Drosophila melanogaster: one gene and its partners. Changing the gene in region 2 together with the main gene of any one other region gives a genetic interaction. Each region holds a gene or a part of one and is shown on either strand. Other genes may lie near its edges.

Region 1 (4,876 bases), on a different chromosome or scaffold from region 2:
GGCCAACCAATGACGGTTAAGTGAGTTTATGGATGCGGCACGGCTTTGCAAAAGTGCACAGGTTCAGTTATCGACGATAGTAATAAACAGAATAAATCAGTACTTAGTCAAGTGCTTTGATTAGCAGACAATAACAGGTGTCCTGTCCTATTCGCCTATTCACAGAGTAACTTTATTTCTGTCCGCTGAGTACCGCGTATAGAAATATTTAAAATTCAAAAATCGAAAATGGTTTTTTAAAAAAAAAAGGTAGCGACACCTGAAAATTTTTGTTAAGATACTGTTTCAGAAGTTGTTGGTTTAATTTATCAAACAATTGAACGAGTCATAACTTACGATTGCTCCTTATCACTTGTGATAATTAAAATAAACTGGAACGCCGAGTGCAAAGAATTTGATAATGGCCGTCAATGATCAATGACATTGGGGCACTTCCATGATACCCTATCATAATAAGTGCCATCAAAGTTTTATTACCACACTTTTACATACACAGGCTAGCTTATGGGCAAGTTCAACTGGCAGGCATAAATTCTTGGTATTGAATTCGTTATTATATGGGTAGTGAAAATAACGAGTGTTGGCATATGCCTTATCACGAAGCTCTTTTTGCTATCAGCTTCAAGTCACCAAACAAAAACTTCTGGAGGCAAAAACAAAAACTTCTTTAATGCTCGAGTTCCATGATTTGTGATAAAAGTGAAAAAATAAAAAAATTTAAGTCCATCAAAAATGTATTTGATTAGACGAATCGTTAAAGAGAATTGTGGATATAATTAAACCTTGGACCTATTATTCAATCATCGGCCGCCGTTTTCAGAAATTTAAGGCGGTATAATAAGTGTAACACCGTACTCAATAAAAGAACCATAATTTCTTAACACCTTTTCACTTTCAAAGCGATTTGCCGAACTCATTAGTTTTGGCTCATTGGTTTTGGCAAGCAAATTAACTTAAAAAAAACTTGACACTTTTATCACTAACAGATAAGACGAATAGAAGTAACCCCATTTTGTTTCAAGAATATACAATTTTTCGTTGAAAAAACTAAACTCCAACCACAATAATACGTTTTTATGGTGGCGAATAAAGCTGTGGTATCCCATTCCTATTGATAGGGCATTGGTGTGAAAAAAAACTAGTTCTAAATTGCCGAATTAAATGTTACTTAAACATTTTTGATTTAACTGAAAAATTCTGTTATATGCATTGTATTTTTTTTTGCAGGAATGTTAATGCTTTCCATTTAATGCCCGTTATCAAAATGTCCTCAGACCGAGGGCGTTCATTTTGAATCGCCTTTGTTTAGCGGGTTTTGTCAGTGGCCGGTCTACTGAAAAGGTTATTAAACCCACCGATCGCTTGCTTCACCTGACCTACACACAATTGCAAAGAAATCGAAACTTCCTGTTGCAATGATCGAGCATGAGTACAAATGTAAATCAGGCTCGATATATTTTTAACAATATCGGCATGTATCGTTACTTGCAGCGCGTCATGCATTTTAAAATTGATTATGATTCATTTACTAATTGCACCGTTAGGCCGAGCCCAACACGCAATTTGATGGAAGCAATAAGTGGGTAAAGGCTTATATAATCCAAAGGAAACGGGTATTGTTCGGCTAATTTATTATTTAGGCAATGAAATCGTTATCAGTTCTTGGTTCCCTACACTACTACACTTATTTAAGTTCGACTGCACACTCATTGTTATAAATCGCCCCAAATTGAAACAATGAAAACTTGGTGCAGAATGATTTTTCACTTTCGCATACCATAACACCTACCGCCAACCAGTTCTAAATGTTGAAATATCTTAGCAAACATGATCACTCTTATCTCATCTCACGATGACGCACATATTTCATTGCCGCTCTACGAGAACCAAGTAATCTATGCAAATGAAAATATCTTTATCTTCAGATCTAAAAATTACCCATGCTGGCCATCAGCTGTGAGATGCTGCGGCGATGACGTCGGACCTGCAAATGTGGCAAGTTGGCGTTCGATGACGCCTGCCGGGGCAGTTGCAGTTGCTGGGCCTCATGGTTCTTGCTGGTTTTGGTATCCAAGCACGTGGCCATCATTGTTGTGTGCGCTTTACGCGGGCTATTTAATGGGCTCTATTTTATTTTTGGCAATCGGTTTTTGGCTTTATAGATAGGAAGCTTTTGTTGTCGGCTCCAGTTTTTTGCATTTCTCAGTCGCATCGACAGTTCGCCTACGTGAAAAATGTCCGTTCTGCGGCCTGCGGAGGCTGTTTAAACCACAAATTATAAATACCGCGTTTGTGTATAATGGACTTATTGCCGTGGAGGTAAGTAGAGGAAGGAAGGATACTTTGCGCCACGAAAATAATCATTTAAATTAATTTTGCCTTCCAAGTTTCATTCAGTCACAGCGTGTATACTTTTCTTTTTTTATATCCCTTGCATTGAAAAATAATTAATTAAATTTTTATCATGGCATATCGTTATCTTTGCGTGAACACAAAACCAAGTTTTGCAAATATAACTGAATGTTTCGCGTGCTCTTTATATTCGTTGGTATTTGGCTTTTGGCGCTTCCAGCTCATTAAAGGTTTGCACAATGGCCAACTAACACACGCACAAATTTTTTGTTTTTCTGCTTTCGCATATTTTACTTTTTTCACTCGGCTACATGGCTTCGCGAGATGGTGCTTTATAACTTGTATCTTTGCATCTCACAGATGCTTATCAAGTTATCAAGTTGGAGTGCGTCTGAAAGATTGTCACGTTTGCATGCGATATGCAGCACTTTGTTTACTTTTCGAGCCACCGACTAACGGAAGTTGCAGAACCGAAAAAAGCGCGACGTCGCATTGAATTCGTCAAAGAGAGTAATGCCACGCTATGTGAAAAAAACCAAACTGAAGACACCTCACACTCACACTTTGAGCCCCCGGCAAAAAGCTCGCCTTACCGCCACGATCTGCGATCCACGAGAAACGTTGCGACAACTTGGCCGTCACTCCGGTTAATAATATTAACTAAACCTCGCGACGCAGCCAAAAGCTTAGGTCGCCGAGCTCAAAACGGTTAACGGGTAACGGTTACGGCGAGAGCGTCAATGCCGCAAGTTGGTAATGGAGAGGGAGTTTTCCAGAGCACAGCTGCGAACTTCAAAACAGCTGGCAAAGCTTTTCATAATCTCCAAGATATTGAAATGCGATAGCCCGAAAACCCTTCGACTGTTCTAAGGTATTATGCAAATAAAAACATAATGGGCTTCTACGGCAAGGTCAGCCACAATCCATAAGAACAAGTTCTCTGCCGAGGCATTGGCACAAACTCTACAAGCTTTCCAAAGCTTTCTGCGCGGTTCACACACCTTTTAAAAATCGCTGATCGAGTACAGGCCTATTGTCGGACCCGCAACAATGGTCGAGGAGTCGATGAGTCACAACGGCACTTTGGGTGTGCATGTAGCTCTGCTTAGTATCTATTGCGGCTATCTTATCGGCAACACTAGACTTGGGCACAATCGCTGTAATCAGAACTCATTATTTGTACGACCCCAATGAAGTGCGCAGGATAAATAACCGAATTACAATTAGCATTCGATTAGATTGTCCCACGCGGGGCAACTGAATTTCAATAACTTAAATTATTGACCCCTAGTTCGGAACTAAGTAAAAATAAAATCAAAAGTATGTTTTAGAGACTATGTCCAAGTTAGTGACTCGGTAAAAACATTTGACGATCGCATCATGCCAAATACCATACCAAACTTTAGTGACGAAAAATTATTTTCGGACATTTAATAAAAATCCCCTTTCATCCCAAAAAAAACATGAGCCTATCGAACAATAACTTTATTCTAAATATTTTCAAATTATAGTTAGCTGTTGAGAAATGAGACTAAGCTTTCGAAGGGATAGTGCTCCGGTAGCGGTTTGGATAAGGTAGTTGACTCGTTCGATATTATTTAAACAATTCAGAAATTAGTACATTGTTATCTTCCATAAATCTAATCTAAGAAATATACTGTCCTAATATAAGTTTTCCTTCTGTCACTCAAAGAAATTTTTAAGTAATTAAGTTTTGGTGCTGACTTCTATTTGGTCATTGAATTTCGTATTGGGTCTGCTAACTTTGAAGTAGTGATAGCTTTTATTACTAGTGTAGTGAATTCTTTGTAAACTTGTTATTTAGTATATAATATAATATATTATAATAGTTGCCCAAGACGAAAAAAGAACCTGTTTGTCACTTCCAAAATATAACAGATAGAAAGTTGCCAAGCCCCCCTAATGCCTATAGCCGCCTAAAACTTGCACATCCTTGCACTTTTAAAAAATGTTTTCAAATTTTTTTTTATATTTTTATTACACTTGTAAATTTTTATCGATTTACCAAAAAACTTTTTGCCACGCCCATACTTTCAAATTTGTTTAAATATTTTCTCAATCAATTCACCATTTCCACTAACTGAGTAACGGGTATCTGACTGTCAGAACATAAGTCGAATATAGCATTTTTGTTGTACCCGTTACTCGTAGAGTAAAAGGGTATACTAGATTCGTTAAAAAGTATGTAACAGACAAAACGTTTTCGACCATATAAAGTATATTATTTATTTATTATTATAAAGTATATATATTCTTGATCAGAACCAATAGCCGAGTTGATCTGGCCATGTCAGTCTGTCCGTATGAACACCACCATCTCAGGAACCATTATAGCTAGAGAGTTGAGATTAGATAAAACGATTCTAGAGGCACGCCCACAACCGCCCAAAACTGACACACCTTTTGAAAATGTTTTAATATTTTTTTTTTTGATCGTTGTGGGAAACCACATTCTAATTCTTTAGGTCTATGCGTTGCCTATTAGATTTTACTAATATCACTA
Region 2 (6,275 bases):
GGTCGCGCACCACTTCACTCTGGTTCACCAAAGCAGATGGATTGTAGCCCAGCGGCGAAGGAATATCAGCATTTTTGCTGCAGGAAAAAGCAAAAGTGGTAAGAACTTGAGTCACCGCGCAGGCTAGCAATCCTTACCTCCCGTTAAAGTCCAGCGCCCACTTTAACTTTTTTGGGTTTTGCTTGGCGGACATGCTGTGCTTTCTTTTATTTAATCTTTTGCCAATTTATAAAACAAAATGACGATTTTTTCTGACAATTGGTCGCTGAGTGTTGTTCAACGTTAAATTCCGAAATTATTGTAGTGTAGACAATTCGATAGGCAACTGATGTGTATGGCACCAGGGTATCGATAGGCAGTTACGATTTTGCGCGGACTTTTTGAAACGCATGTGCAAAAATCGAACAGCGCAGTAGTTTTCATTAATATTTAAATTTTATTTCAAATTACCTTTTAAGTAGTACTTTCCTTTTTAATATGGTCTTATATATATGCGTGATTTTTAATGGATTTTGCGTGACCAAGCGACAACAAGAAACAGAAGGGTTAAAAATTAAAATGGTATTTGTTGTATTTTTAAAGAGCAATTACAATTACAGTTTTTTCTCATTAATATTACTTTAATATTATAAAATTAAAAAGAAATATATATTTTGATGAGGGGTAGGGAGAGGACAAAAATAACTTAAAAAAGACATTTTTATACCATATACTATAGTTTCCTTTCTTGTGTGATTGGTTGGGCTTTTCTTTTACTCGATTTGCTTTTAAACATCCAATAATTATGTATACGAATTTAAATTATATTATAGCGTTCTTTATATGCTGCTTGAAAGGTTATGTTTTTGCAATTCAATAAACAATTTCAGTTTCTTGTTTGGAAATACGGACATGCGGAGCCCTTTAAGTTATGCGAAGATCTGCTGCTCTTGTTGTTGGTGTTGGTGCCGCTGCTGCTGTTTTGTGAAAATTCCTTCTGATGTCGATTTCCACCGTTTACCGCTGGATGTTGGATGTCCTTCAGCCGCTCTTTCTATGGTTCTGGTTGCTGGTTAACTGCTTCGGCTCGCTTGAAATCAGAGTTAGTTGTATTCATATTGTTGCTTTAATTTTAGTGTTTAATTAGCGATTAGCGTTCTTCAATTGGTTGGACAGCCAGTCGAGTCCCTCGTACAGCCCATCACCGCTAGTTGCACACGTCGCCTGGATGTACCAGTTGCGGTTTCTGAGTGAGTGCAAGCCGAGCTTGTCGGTGATTTCGGCCGCGTTCATTGCATTTGGCAGATCCTAAAATGATCCCAGAAAAGAGCGAGGTGCAATATTAGTATGACAATATAAGGACCGAGCAACTGGCTACTGATAACGACAACCTTTGCTTGGACCTACCTGTTTGTTTGCGAAGATTAGTAAGACTGCATCCCTCAGCTCGTCCTCTGCCAGCATGCGCATCAACTCCTCTCTCGCCTCACCGATACGCTCTCGGTCATTGCTGTCCACGACGAAGATAAGACCCTGTAACGATTCAAATGAAAACTTTATTCCAATTGTCCTGGCTTGAATCGTAGGAGATAGATCTCTAAGATAATATAGTCAGTCCCGTCTTGAAACAAAATAAACTTGAATAATCACAATGCATAATCATTACAAGCTGTTAACATCATATAGAATTTTCTGGAATCTGTGGAAAAGCTGAAATCACACTTACTTGTGTATTCTGGAAGTAGTGCCTCCACAGGGGACGAATTTTGTCTTGGCCACCCACATCCCACACTGTAAAGCTAATATTCTTGTATTCTACAGTCTCCACATTGAAACCTAGGGGGACAACCATTAGATATTAGATTTGGACAAGATACATTAAAGGTGCTAATAAGATACTTACCAATGGTAGGTATCGTTGTAACAATTTCGCCTAATTTGAGTTTGTACAGAATTGTGGTTTTACCAGCGGCATCCAAACCGACCATCAATATCCTCATTTCCTTTTTGCCGAATAGGCCTTTGAATAAGTTCGCGAATACGTTTCCCATGGCTGCTGTTTGTCTTTCGGATGCTCGGTAGTCGTAGGAAGTTGGATCTCTGGTTGGCCTGCTCGCTGTCTGCTGGCTGGAATTATGACAAGTTCAAATCCGAGTTGCTATACCGATCAGAATATGCAAACTGCACACTTGTGTGCATGGAGTGGGAGAATCTGTGAAGAGTCCAAAAATAGACAGTTGTAGGCGAGAATTTTTCGTGGTAGGAAGAGCTATCACAAAGGACGGATGCGCCGAAGCTCCTCTGGTGTTTGTTTCACTTATGATCGCGCTTACGTGTTGAATGGCGCTTACCCACTCTGAGTCATACAAAAACCGGAAGAGCGGAAAAACCGGAAAAAGAAACGAAATTCGTTTTTGTTTATTGTAATAAGGACGTCTTCAATGCGTCAGCATGAGAAAAACAGAAAATTTGTTTATGTAATTAATTCCACACTTAAATACAACGCGAAATGGAGGATGTATGAAACACGAGTCGCTTGCTTTTAGTGTTTGCCCCGCTAGCGGCTGCTGATAAGATATCGATTTTTAGTATAGAACCATGACGGCTGTCGGCGCTCAGCGCCTCCCTTCCAACGTCCTCCACCCACTTTACACAGAGTACGCAAGAAACGTGCGGGCTGAGAAGTGCGTGAATGATAAGGCCAGGTAACTTGCAGTTTTCGGCGAACTTGCTGGGCGGAGGGGAAGCTCCCAAACTCTACAGTGAGTCACCGCTGCCGCCTTTTGAGCCCTGCAACCGAGCAGGCTGCAACCGATGGCTAAGCAATTCATGTTAAAATGGAGGAACGCAATGAGCAAGCCCGTTTCGCACGAACACAAAAAGAAAAAAGGTTGCCAGCGAAACATACGGAAACCTTTCGTTTGACAGCAATCGGATATCCAAAAACCTAAGTTTGTTACAGGGAACTAACACCCCAGAGACTTCTTCTCCGGACCGGTAGTGCGCAAAGATAGGTGCTCCACGTTACTGAGAAGATGCTGATGCCAGCTGACGATAGTTGGCTTGGAAGCAGCCGAAATCGAAAACTACACGTAGCAGCTTTTAATTTAGCGCTGAGGGAAGCGAGGCAGCCCACCACCGCACACTCACGCATACACCCGCAGGCGCCAGGGTTGCCAACTGCGTTGAGCCGCCCTGCCTTTGCTGCCTTTAATGCGTTTAAATAGAAGCTCCAGGCGGAGGGCGTCACTGCTCGAAGATGAACGCTTCGCCAGCCCACGCCCCATGTTCAGACATTTCGCAACTAAGCCCACTTTCGGATCGGGATCAGACAACTTTGAACTTTATACGTGGTTGCCTGCGTCTGTGTGAGTGACGTACGCTGTTTTTCTTATGGGTTGGTGAAATGCGGCTGCCGCCGTCCCTTGTTTTTACAAGAATACAGAGACCGGTCCGAAGTTACTTGGACTTCTTTTAACTGAGATCCTTTTAGCTCAGTGACACTTTACACGTCCATTTACCGATTATTCTGCCTTTTTTCGTGGACTTTTCTTTGATTGAATTTTCTATGCTGCCAAACACACCACACACCGAATTGCGAATAGAAAGATAATGGAGAGAAATGTATCGATAGCATCCGCTACCGATAGTCGATGAGCACAAGTCACTATTGTCTGCCGAACAGAGATTGTAAAATGTTCCCAATTATATAATTTAGCTATCACTTTTGTAATTAAAGGAGAGCTTGTCCTTGTCTCCTGTTACGATAATGCTATAAACAAAGCACCGACGATTAATTCGTGCGGCTTCCAATACTAATACTTCCACTATTCACCACAGCCGCGTACGTTGCGCGAGTGTTCGTGGATAGCCCACACTAAACACTCACACGAACATCTACATTACTGCGGAACTTCTTAAAATCAAGAAAAGTATCTCTGCCTTGACATACCACCCCCTTTTTCGACTGAAAACGCATACGCACCAACTAATTGAATCAAATGCACACGGCTAGGAGCGGAAATTTTAAAAACTTCTGCTTGGAAATGTCTAAAATCACAGAGCAAAATAAAACTTGACCGAGAATACACTTGCTGTTGAAAAAACTGCAAACTCACCAACATAAACGTTGCCGATAGAGATGGGCGCAGCGCATGAGCTAGAGCGGGATGCCGATGTTGTGTAGTCCCGTGGTGAAAACTCGGGAAATGCTGCCACGTCTCTTCTCCGCCACCTCGGCTAGAGTTGCCAACGATTTGGATTAATCGATTCATCATTGTCGCACAATGCTCACTCGATAAAGTTCACTATCCAGGTGATTTGAACTAAGTTAAATGTTAATATGTTTTACCCAAAAACACCATTTTTGGTGAACCCGTTGCTGGAAGCCGATATCCTTAAAGTGAATGTATGTACTTTCAATGTGCACAAATACGTATTTACAACAAAAACTGGCTTGCAAATTTTATTAACTGTTAATTCCTGGTTTTGTCAAGTCTGCTGCACTTGCTCCGCTGTTGGAATGGCTGTGCCTTACTCCCAAAGTCACCACTTACAGGGTGAACACTCTTAGGTGTTCCGTTGACGACTTTCGGAAAAAGTTAGAAGAAAAACTCGCCATTCGCTACGGTGTAAAATCTCCAAGGATTTACTGCTTGCCAAACCTACCCGAGATGTTGTGCATTGATCCGCTGGACTCACAGCTCACCAAAGCTGTGGCCGACTCCGAGCTCAAGGAGGTAGTGGTTGACACTAACTGCGGAGCTGCACTACTGCGAGGCGCCCACATATACGCCCCCGGTGTTTTAGCTATGGAGTCAAACACTGAGCGGGAGGAACTCGTCAATGTCTACGCAGATCTGGATGGAAAATGCAAGCGCGGGACGGTCAAGCGGTACGAAAGCCCAAATAAGGTTTTCCTGGGTACAGGCAAGGTGTTAATGCAGCGGTATCAGCTGTTCAACAACGCGGAGAAGCCCGCCTCTGGAGTGGCCGTGGAAATGCAGTCCAACGTCAGCGGAGTGCCCACGCTGGGGGATCTAAGCAGCGAAGACGGCCTGTTGCAAAACCTGCCTTCTATTGTTTGCGTCCGTGTCCTGGATCCGCAGCCCGGCGAGCGCATACTGGACATGTGTGCCGCTCCGGGTAACAAAACAAGCCACATAGCCGAGTTGATGGGCGATCGGGGATCTGTGGTGGCCCTAGACAATTCGGCCAGTCGCGTCCGCAGCATGCTGCCCAAATTGGGACACTACAAAAGCATAACGGCGCATGTTTTTAACTCCACCGAGGCAGTGGCAGCGGACGCTCCATCTGCACCCGTGGGAGAATTCACTGGGCCTCCGTTTCCATGTGAAAGCTTTGACCGAATCTTGCTCGATGCACCCTGCAGTGGGCTGGGCAACCGGCCACAGTTGTCCTGCAGCATTAAACAGGTTAAGGTCTTGTCCTCATATCCCCATATTCAGCGCCGGCTATTTGAACAGGCAGTGCAGCTCGTTCGTCCTGGCGGCATCCTTGTATATAGCACGTGCACCGTCACCGAGGATGAGTGCGAATGTCTTGTGGCCTGGGCACTAAGAAAATTTGTCGAGCTGCGGCTAACAGATGCCACTCCCCGGTGGGGCGGTCCCGGACTTCCGCTTCCCGGTTTCGAGGCATGTAAATCTCGTCTGTTGCAGCGCTTCGGTCCAAGCGGAGCAAATGCGGACACTGTGGGCTTTTTTATTGCGAAGTTTCAGAAAATATAAATAAATTCAACTTCACTGAAATTTTTTGTTTATTGGGCTCGATAATTTAAACATTCGTTTTGATTTGCAAAAGTAAGCCGGCTTATGAGTGATATAAGTGAGACCTACGCTAGTGGTATTTGATCAAGAAAATTTCAACCCTACGCTTAGAAAAGCATTTGAAAAATGCAGTCTGATAACATTTAGGCTTTGCTCTCCCATAGCTGCTTGTGCTATCTTAATGGAGATACATAATGTTATCTTTTTGTTTTCGAGTTAAAAAGAACTTAAATAATTTACAATTCATAACTAATGTAATTTTACTTAAATCTAAGTCCGTCATTGTTATTTAACGATTCTTGTTAAAAGCAAAATTATGCATTTCGGGAACTTTAAAACTTTCTACGACAAAGATTTACTTAATGATTTTACGAGTTGTAAGTTAAAAGGAAGTCAAAAATATTACCAATCATTGATGGGACCCCGATAAATGCATGTTTTGTTTGTGCTTGAGGAAATTACTAAATATGATGAGAACATCGATGAAGGCTTTTAACGCTGGCGGAA
Region 3 (4,737 bases), on a different chromosome or scaffold from region 2:
TTCTTGATCGAAATCTTCGCCACCGTTTAGACCACGCAAATTCTTAGTGAAGTCCTCGAGCGTCATTGGAACATTTAAACGCTTCGCGTTCGAGTTGTGCTGATCCATGTTCAGCATGATGATGGCATAGGCCAAGCGAAAAGCAGCGTCTACGTTGGCAAACGGATCTTGGTTTTGTTTCTATATTGGTGGGATACATACATGATTAATATCAGAGACTGCAAGTATTTTAGTAGATGTGTATACTCACATGCCAATGATCAGAAAAGTGTTCCAGCACCAAAAAGATCAATGGAGCCTCTCCGGGCAATCTGAAGGTCTCCAGATAAAGACGCAATGCTTGATCCACTCGAAGACCAGTGAAATCAAACGAGTCCACAAAATTAATTAGAATCTTAGAGTCGACGTTTTTCTTTTTCGAGATATATTCGCCAATCATTTTTTTATCGAGCCCGGGATTTTCTCGAAGGAACAGGGCCACCTGCATGGGATCAAGCTCGGCATTTAGGATGCCGTGTTCTTGCAGATACTGGATTCCTTTCTCTGGACGCTGATTAAATCGCTCTGTGCCTTGGGATAGCAGACGCTTCTTCTGTTTGACCTTGGCCAGCTGTTCACTGGTTATTCCCACTCCCTCTCCGCCAGATTGTAGTCGTAGTCGATGTGAGCTCGCATTTATAAAGCTTGCGATGTTCTCCACTTTCTCTTCTGCAGCTACACTATTGCCAGAATCAATTACGATTCCCTCCAATCCGCTGTTGTGGCGAGAATGGCGGCTGCCACCTGTTGCTGGGGCAGCTTCTGGCAAGGACTCTCTGTTGTTGCTGCTATTCTTGCTCGCGGCACAATTTCGCTCGATACTGTCTATCACACTTAACAGGGTGTCCATTGAGATAATGTGGGTGCTATAAACTGCATTCGTTGCTGACAGCGTATACTTGCTCAGTAGGTTTGTCAAACTTTCAAACATATCCGTGCAGTACAAGTCACAATCGTAGTTGATATACAATTCCGTGACGAAGCCGGGAATGCGCCACAACTGCAGTAGATTGTCCAGAGCGAGTTCTCGCATTTCGTAGGGCGTCTTGGGATTATCGCTAGCAATAATCTCGCTCAATTTTCTAAGGTAGGCTTCCAGCTGAAACTTGAGATGTCCGCGGAGAGACTCGAAAAGCAAAAAACAGAGCTGCAAATCGGCGGCAAAGATGCTAAGCCGCTCTGAGCTGAGAAGCTGTAGGGAAAGGAAAGAGTTAGGTCAGAAATAACTAACGAAGCAATTAAGAGTCCCTTACCGATATTAAGTTTCTGCATAAGTCGTCCTTAACCAGCTCCAGCAAGCCCTCATACTTTCCAATATTATCGGCTGCGACTTCAAAAGCTACAGTAAGTAGACTAAGACCCGTGTGCATCATGCTATCCGAGTTCTGCTTATCCAGAGGATTGCAGAGGATTATGAGGAATCGGAACAACTCCTGGATGAAGGGCAGGCCATAAGGGGATAGTGATGTTACATCGTGATCGGTGGACTGCTGTGTAAAACGGACGCCCACCGAGTTGATGTACTCGCTACTATTTGCCTCGGCCAGGGTGCTGGTTGCTTCACCCGTTTCGCCGTCCAGCAAGGGCTCCGATTCAGTCGACTCCACTTGAATAACAGGAGTCTCCGGGACAGTGGTTTCATCTTCCCCCGTGCTCGCCGTTGTTGTTGGTGTCTGCGTAATCTTGCCCTGCATGTCCAATATGTTTCCCGCTGGACTGGCGGGTGTGGTGGCCAATATGGGTGCCTTCAAGTGCCCTGGCACCGTCAGGTTGGCAGACTGCGGTGTTTGAGGCGGTTCCTCCACTGCTGACGATTTCCTGGGTGCTGTCTGGGCTTGGGCAACCGTCTTACGCTTTAGTTTTTCTTGGGTAGCTCCGCTGGCAGCATCGCCGATAGTAAATCGCTTCTGGAGCATGGTGTCACTTCGCTCTTCGGCGAACTGGGGAAGGCGCATGAAGAAGAGCAGCACCATGTCCTTGAGCGATTTTTCCGCCGAGCGACGAAGCAGTTCACTCAGCCTCGGCTCGAAGGAGATCTTGAAGCAGCTGAGCATCACCTCGCACATGGACACATTGCTGACGGCGGCTCCTTCGGGACTGCGGATAAGCGTGTGCAGCACCTCAATCACTCGCATAAAGGTGACACCATCCGAGGACTGATCGGTGCCCATAAAGCGGGCATGTGTCACAGCATCGGCAATGCGCTCCACAATGTCAGCCAGATTTGGAGACGTGGGATCTGTGGATAGGTACAGAATGAGCAAATGCAGAGGGTAAGCACTAAATCATAATACCTATTAGCCCGTAAGACAATAATTTGTTAACCGAGGCCAAGGCTAGACTAGTCAACGGACCCGTGGCGTCCGCCGTGCGAATCACCTCAAGAAACGGAGCCAGGAAGACCTGAGGCTCGATCTGACGCAGGTCCTCGATCCGATTTAGCTCATGCTTGAGGTCAATGAACAGCTTCAGCAGCGAGTCATTCTCGTCGTCCTGTGGATGTGCAAAAGGGCCATATACTTTCTATTCGCAGTGAGCATTAGGGGCACTATTTACCACGTAGGCGGTGGCATTCCAACGCGTTCCACGTCGCATCGCCGTCATCAGGGTGGCCATTTCGCCCCGCACCACGTAGATGCCGTTGCCTGGAAGCGCCATGGTGTCCGCGTGTCCTCCGTTGCGGTGTCTCTACGACTGCAGCTAGTTGGCTTCCAGTTCCAGGGCTAGCGCTGAAAATTGCAGTTTTCGTGGGGCAGGGCAGCTCCTCCTCCCTTCCCGACGACCTTCGCATATGTTTTGGCACTCGCCACTTGCCCACTCGCACACTCACGCTGCCTGGACGAATCTGGGCGTGCTGCCTAGTTGGGCATCTCTCACTAATCCTAACTAATCGAACTGGTAAGCTGCTAATTTTTGGTGACGTTTACGTGTCGTTTATGTTCTTGTGTGCAGTCCGAATATTTTGCACAAGCGTCTTCCAACACCGGCGCGGCAGTTCGTCGCTTCGCAGCACTGGCACAGCTGTAGATGCCAACTCGATGCGGAAATTTCAATAGATTAAATTGAAATACAGCTGCAAGCGTATATAAAAAAAATATAACCTTGTTTTTAAAATAAAATATGTTGCCAAGCTGTCGATCAAATTGATTTAATCAAATTGATATTTGAATATGAGGGCCAAAACAGGTGAGCATAATCAGTCACGCACGCATCTTCAGTCGTGAGCGTTACACCCACCACTAAGTTACACTGGCATTTGGTGCGTAGGCGAATTTCTAATTGGAATCGTTCGATTTTTGAAAAAGAATCGCATTAAATGCAAAGCATTCCTGTTCCAGACTACTGCGCACACTTGCACTGAGGCGATCGAGCACGGGGCAGGTGGATTTACAGGACTCAGCGATACCAAAGCAGCCCACAGGCCGAACAATATGGGAAACACGGACTCCAAGTTGAACTTTCGCAAGGCGATTGTGCAGCTGACGCAGAAGAACCAGAAGATCGACCCCAGCGACGAGCAGTTCTGGGAGCAGTTCTGGCAGGGCCACCAGACGACGCTGGAGGATGTGTTCGCGCTGGTCACCTCGAGCGAGATTCGCCAGATACGGAACGAGAATCCAGCCAACCTGGCCACCTTATGCTACAAGGCGGTGGAAAAGCTTGCCCAGGCGGTAGACAGCAGTTGTCGCACGCAGGCGGAGCAGCAGTGCGTTTTGAACTGCGTGCGGCTGCTCGTCCGGTGTCTGCCGTACATTTTCGAGGACGAAAAGTGGCGCGACTTCTTCTGGAGCAGCCTGCCATCGCAGGACAAGACCATGCCGTTGGCTCAGTCACTGCTCAATGCCACCTGCGACCTTCTTTTCTGTCCCGACTTCACGGTTACGGCCACGCGGCGTGCGGGCCCCGAGAAGGCCGAGGAGTTGGCGAACATCGATAGCTGCGAGTACATTTGGGAAGCGGGCGTGGGTTTCGCCCAGTCACCGCCCCACAACGCCCACATGGAGCGCAGGCGCACGGAGTTGCTGAAGCTATTACTCACCTGCTTCTCGGAGCCCATGTACCGATCGCCGCAGCAGTCCGAGGAGCCCAACAAGTGGATAGCATATTTCACCTCGGCCGACAATCGCCATGCCCTGCCGCTGTTCACCTCGTTTCTGAACACCGTGTGCTCCTACGATCCGGTGGGCTTCGGCGTGCCCTACAATCACCTGCTGTTTGCAGACACCACAGAGCCCCTGGTGGAAGCGTGCCTTCAACTGCTCATTGTCACCTTGGATCACGATATGGTGGTGCAGCAGCAACTCACACAACCCGGACAGGCGTCCTACGACGAGGGCAATTGCGGCGACAACTTGTTCATTAACTATCTTTCGAGGGTTCACCGCGACGAGGACTTTCACTTTGTGCTCAAGGGCATAACCAGGCTGCTGAACAACCCACTGGTCCAGAACTATTTGCCCAATTCCACAAAGCGACTTCATTGCCACCAGGAGCTGCTTATTTTGTTTTGGAAAATATGCGACTACAACAAAAAGTTTCTGTATTTTGTGCTAAAGAGCTCCGATGTTCTGGACATCCTGATTCCCATTCTGTATCACCTAAACTACTCCCGAGCGGATCAATCTCGAGTGGGCTTGATGCATATTGGAGTATTCATACTGTTGCTCCTATCGGGTGAGTCATATGTCATATGTTTTG
Region 4 (4,591 bases), 1.8 Mb from region 2:
ATGTATAAATCAAACGAAAATGTGTATAATCATTTTGTTTTTGTTTATTTTTTAATGATGGTAATAAATAAAATGCTTTAATTGTGAGTCACGTAAGTTCTCCCAGTGTACAGAGAGAAACAACAACATTCATGGAGCAGCGGAACCGTACTCATAAGACAGAAAGCTACCCGCACAATTTCAACAACATCTCTGATCTTGAGTTTAATGTCTCATCGTGACATACTCTTTTCCATAATGAAAGATATGCCAACTAGGTGCGTGCAGCTTATCTTGTACAACTCTAATCTGAAAGTGGATCTAAGCCGTGGTAAGCATTTTTACATTACATTTAGATTCGCTAATTAAAACGTAAAAAATGGTGGTACAAATGAGGAAATGTACCTTATATGCAGGGAACGTTTGATAAGCAAATCCTGCATTTTTCCCAATTTCATTTATGCTCTATCAACTAAATTATCATTATTCAAAATAATCTGATCTGAAAGATTAATTTATATATAAGATATCTGAAGTGATTATTCATATAAAAACGTGACAATAAATAACAATTCTAAAAGAGTATCTATACATTCGACGAATGCGAGTTTAAAAGTTTCTGGTGTTTTGTGTTTCAAAGTTTTGGCGAAGGTGAGCTGCAAAAACCGAGACATAAAAAATAAACAGAAAACGCTAAGCGAATAATTGGAAGAGCCCACGATTCTACTACTAGCAGACCTTAGAGGCCAAGAAGCCCCGAAAATAAAGAAAACGGTTAAAAGATAACTGCGCTTTATTTGCGCCCACTTTGTATATGTATACATCATATATACGAAAATATCTGTATTTAAAAGATTGTCTGCGGTGGGGCATGACCGCATGCAAAGCAAAGTCAGGTACGAATATTAAGATACTCCCAACTTTATTCGACTGTCAATGGCAAAATGCCAGGCGAATGGTTTATAATATTTCTTTTCTTGTTTGCCCATGCATTTGTGAGGTTAATCTCCCCTGGAAAGACCCCAAATAAGTGATCGAAACTCGGTCTTAACATTGAATTTCCCTGAGACGGCTCTTATCGCCCGAAGTAGCACTACACATTAGTTATCAGCAGAACTAAACAAATAGAGAATTCTGGTCGATCGATAAGCGGAGAGCAACTGTAGTTCTATCACAGCACAACTGACTCATTCAATTTGGCAACGAAATAAATACAACATTATCTATTGTTCTGTTACAGATAAGCATGAGTTTTTTATGTACGGAAATACCTATCGCCACGGTGCACTTCATTTTGCGACCACGACTGTGTCGATTAGCCCACAGGTAGACCGGCGTGCAAAAAGGGGTTGCAAAAACCAGAAGTCGCACTCCGACTTGTCAGCCTGCAGCTGCCAAGGTGGCAAGGACAAGGGGACGAATGAATGTGACTCAACGAGAAGTTGACTCAACCCGGGGGCAAGGAAACATTGGAGTTGGGGGTCACGGAAATGCAGCCGAAAATGGCGATCCAAAAAAAAAATCAATGATTTTTGTGGTTTTGTTTGAGTGCTGAAGAAGAAATGGTACTTTGGCTTCAAGTTTTTGTTTTAAGATCACACAACCACAAAATATAAAGTAAGGATCTTCACTGAATGAATTATGTATTCCAGCTCTTTTTCTTATCAGCTAAAATGTTAATTTCTAATCAGAAAAGGGAAATAAAAAACTGGCCTATGTGCAGATTAAATTATGGTATAAATAAAACTACAATATATACAGATATATCAAAGGCCTTGACCTGAAACTTAAAAGCGAAATGCCGCTCTGATAAGAAGCATTAAAGAAGAGCTTTAAAAGTAGGTAGTATAGCAGAAAAGATTTTAAATATATATTGTTTCAAAATATAATCAATTTAAAGATGAATACTATCTCCTGACTGATTATAATTACTTAATGGAATATTTTGGCTCTTAATGAGATCACAAAATAAACAACCGCATTTTACAGAGTATTTAGTGAGAAATTGTTCTTTGTAATATGTAAAATGCTCGTTGACACATCTAGAACAATATCGACAAAATTCTTTTTAAATATGTTGAAATCAAATTGCTGAACATTGCAAATTTTTTCTGGCCCCCAAATGCCATGAAAATTATTTTGCAACCGCAATTTTAAAGTGCATCTCTTCCTATTGGAAGTTTCCATTTAAGCGGGATGTCCAATAGGAAAATATGATATGCCATTAATTCACCCTTATTTAACAGATATTTGAATATATTACTAGATAGTAAACATTGGTGGGCACTCACTTATCATCGAGATCGACGGGCAGTCGCTTGAGCTCCGACATGTCCAGCTCCAGTCGCAGATTGGACACTTCACAGAGCAGGCGATCGCGTTCCAGACTCAACTCCTTGATCTTGGCGTGCAGGGCATTGTTCTCCCGGAGCAGCTCGTCCACATTGTAGGGCATCGCATGCACATGGTGATGGGGCATGTTGATGGAGAGGGGCAGGGGCAGGGAAACGGGTCCAGGTGGGGCGACACCCCCAGCGGAACCGCCCGGCCCTCCTTGGTTTCCCACAAACATTATGGAGCTGGCCATCAGCAGGGACTGCGTGGTCTGATGCAGCAGCAATTCCTGGTCGCCATCCGAGTTCTGGGATAGATTCTTCAGATCGGCCTCGGACATGTTTTGTTTATAACCTTAGCGGGGATCGGCTGCACTCCTAATCGATGTGCTTTTGTGGCCAAAACATTATAGCCCCGCCACGCACACGCACTCGCGCGAATGAGGGAAGGTGGTGGAGAGGGTGATAAAACAGCGAAACAGGCAGAACCACTTTGAATCTCACAATAAGAACTGAAAATGCAGCTTGCTGCGAGTTGAAACTTCACTCGTATTGTAATTGAATGACCTTCGTATATTATACTTCAGAGCCAGCACTTCGAATCGCGAGCAACAGTTGGTGCGGATCGGAGGGGGATTACGAATATTCTCGGAATTACGGATTTTCAATTCACGCGCGACGAAAAACACGACGCACTCGTCGTTCGACGTTTGGAAACAGTGTGGACGTGCTGGGGGGCACCGCAGTGTGACCATAGAGCATGCAACTCAAAATACGCTATCGTATTCAAAAAATATACCGCATCAAATGTGGCATTTTAAGACGACCGTTTTATTTTAAAATATATTGTTGTTTTCATCTTATTTAAGAAGGGCATAAACAATCTTAAGTTTATGCTCATTATTATACATAAGCATTTTCTTTCTTTGATAAATTTAAAACTCATTAAATCTAAATATGTGTGCATTAATTAAGATTTATTTTGGAACTGCCAATGATCCATTCCTGGTTGATCTAGTTCACCACAAAAATATTCTATAAAATTGGTATTGTAATAATAAGCCGACATGAAGAACCAAAAAAATATAACCATTATACTAACTGGGCCACCAGGTGCAAATTTAGCTGGGAAAATATTTGCTATTTGTTTATTATGTATGTAATCATGATTTTCAGGAGTGGGTAAAACTACACTGGTCCACAAAATATGCTCGGCTCTGCAGGATAGAGGACGCATTCTTCAAGGATTCTACACAGAGGAAATGCGAGGTGAGGGCACCAGCCAAAGAATCGGCTTCGACGTGGTCACGTTAGCCGGAAAACGAGCAATCCTATCTCGCAAGAATCCCGGGGACCAGCTGCGACGACCCAAAGTGGGAGAGTATTCGGTGTTTGTGCAGGACTTCGACAGTCTCGCTCTGCCAGTACTTGGCACACAGGATTCCCAACCAGAGCCGGATCTCCTGGTCGTGGATGAAGTGGGCAAAATGGAGCTGCTTAGCAAGCGATTTGAGTCGGCCATGGCTGATCTCCTGAAGAAAAAGCGGGCCCTATTGGTCACCATACCCGAGAAATCAACATTGGCTTTGGTGGAGCAGCTGAGAAAGTCAGCAGGATCCAAGATTTACCAGGTGACCAAATTCAATAGGAACGCCTTGGCTGGAGAGATTACAGAAGAGATTACAAAAGCACTTCTTTAACAAAGTAAAATTGTTGGTCTTTTTAATAGTGCCTAGATGTATAATCGTGCTGCCGATTCTCCGCCGCTGGGAGATCATCATCCGATGCTACGCATCCACGGAGCCAGTTGTTGAGTGATTCATTGCGGGCGGCGGCATGGCTGAAGTCAGTGACTGGGATTCGCTCTTCCTCGTCGAACGTTTCCGAACACGTTTGGTTTCCCTAGCCCAGTCCATTTCATTGTAGTGCTGCTCGGAAGCGGTCCAGTGGTACTCCTGTCGGCTGACCAGTTCCGGGTACTTTTGCTCGAACTCCTTGTCGGGTGGCAGTAGCAGCTCCCACCGTTTTGTGTTATTCACCCGGGCCACAGTCTTCAAAACGTCAAGTGTTTCCGCAGGAGGTAACTGGGTGGCGGCCATTACCTGAGCTCGGAACAGGTAGGGCGTGCGGGAGAAACGAAAGAGCTGCGGATGGATTTGAGGAGATTAGTACAAGATAAGTGATCGCTACACCCATACTATAACTCACTATATAATCTCTGGCGCGAATCATCTGCTCTGCGGACACACCGTTCGCATGGGAAAGCACCTTCTCGGGAA

The links.
Region 1: of Arf1 (region 2) and Pld, changing one suppresses a phenotype caused by changing the other (phenotypic suppression), as found in Drosophila melanogaster (one study listed by BioGRID).
Region 3: of Arf1 (region 2) and garz, changing one enhances a phenotype caused by changing the other (phenotypic enhancement), as found in Drosophila melanogaster (one study listed by BioGRID).
Region 4: of Arf1 (region 2) and siz, changing one suppresses a phenotype caused by changing the other (phenotypic suppression), as found in Drosophila melanogaster (one study listed by BioGRID).

Annotation. Positions count from the first base shown.
Region 1 is NT_033778.4:6,243,647-6,248,522, reverse strand, and holds the start of Pld (phospholipase D), read right to left. Parts: upstream 3,012-4,876; 5' UTR 2,946-3,011; intron 2,260-2,945; 5' UTR 2,090-2,259; coding exon 1,939-2,089; intron 1-1,938.
Region 2 is NT_037436.4:22,867,960-22,874,234, forward strand, and holds Arf1 (ADP ribosylation factor 1), read right to left. Parts: upstream 4,273-6,275; 5' UTR 4,098-4,272; exon of another isoform or gene 3,854-4,097; intron 3,766-3,853; exon of another isoform or gene 3,361-3,765; intron 3,129-3,360; exon of another isoform or gene 2,888-3,128; intron 2,336-2,887; exon of another isoform or gene 2,256-2,335; intron 2,192-2,255; 5' UTR 2,031-2,191; coding exon 1,883-2,030; intron 1,816-1,882; coding exon 1,706-1,815; intron 1,664-1,705; exon of another isoform or gene 1,586-1,663; intron 1,513-1,585; coding exon 1,387-1,512; intron 1,288-1,386; coding exon 1,123-1,287; 3' UTR 549-1,122; downstream 1-548. Other genes in the region: EMC4 (ER membrane protein complex subunit 4), read right to left, coding at 1-77, 138-193; CG11109 (uncharacterized protein), read left to right, coding at 4,322-4,387, 4,476-5,729. UniProt on the Drosophila melanogaster protein: Small GTPase involved in protein trafficking between different compartments. Modulates vesicle budding and uncoating within the Golgi complex. In its GTP-bound form, triggers the recruitment of coatomer proteins to the Golgi membrane.
Region 3 is NT_033778.4:12,324,634-12,329,370, reverse strand, and holds the start of garz (gartenzwerg), read right to left. Parts: upstream 3,012-4,737; 5' UTR 2,698-3,011; coding exon 2,596-2,697; intron 2,533-2,595; coding exon 2,334-2,532; intron 2,279-2,333; coding exon 1,293-2,278; intron 1,232-1,292; coding exon 251-1,231; intron 181-250; coding exon 1-180. Other genes in the region: CG8841 (uncharacterized protein), read left to right, coding at 3,471-4,713.
Region 4 is NT_037436.4:21,032,981-21,037,571, reverse strand, and holds the start of siz (schizo), read right to left. Parts: upstream 3,038-4,591; 5' UTR 2,654-3,037; coding exon 2,271-2,653; intron 1-2,270. Other genes in the region: CG10581 (uncharacterized protein), read left to right, coding at 3,380-3,425, 3,489-4,012; Polr3E (RNA polymerase III subunit E), read right to left, coding at 4,100-4,456, 4,521-4,591.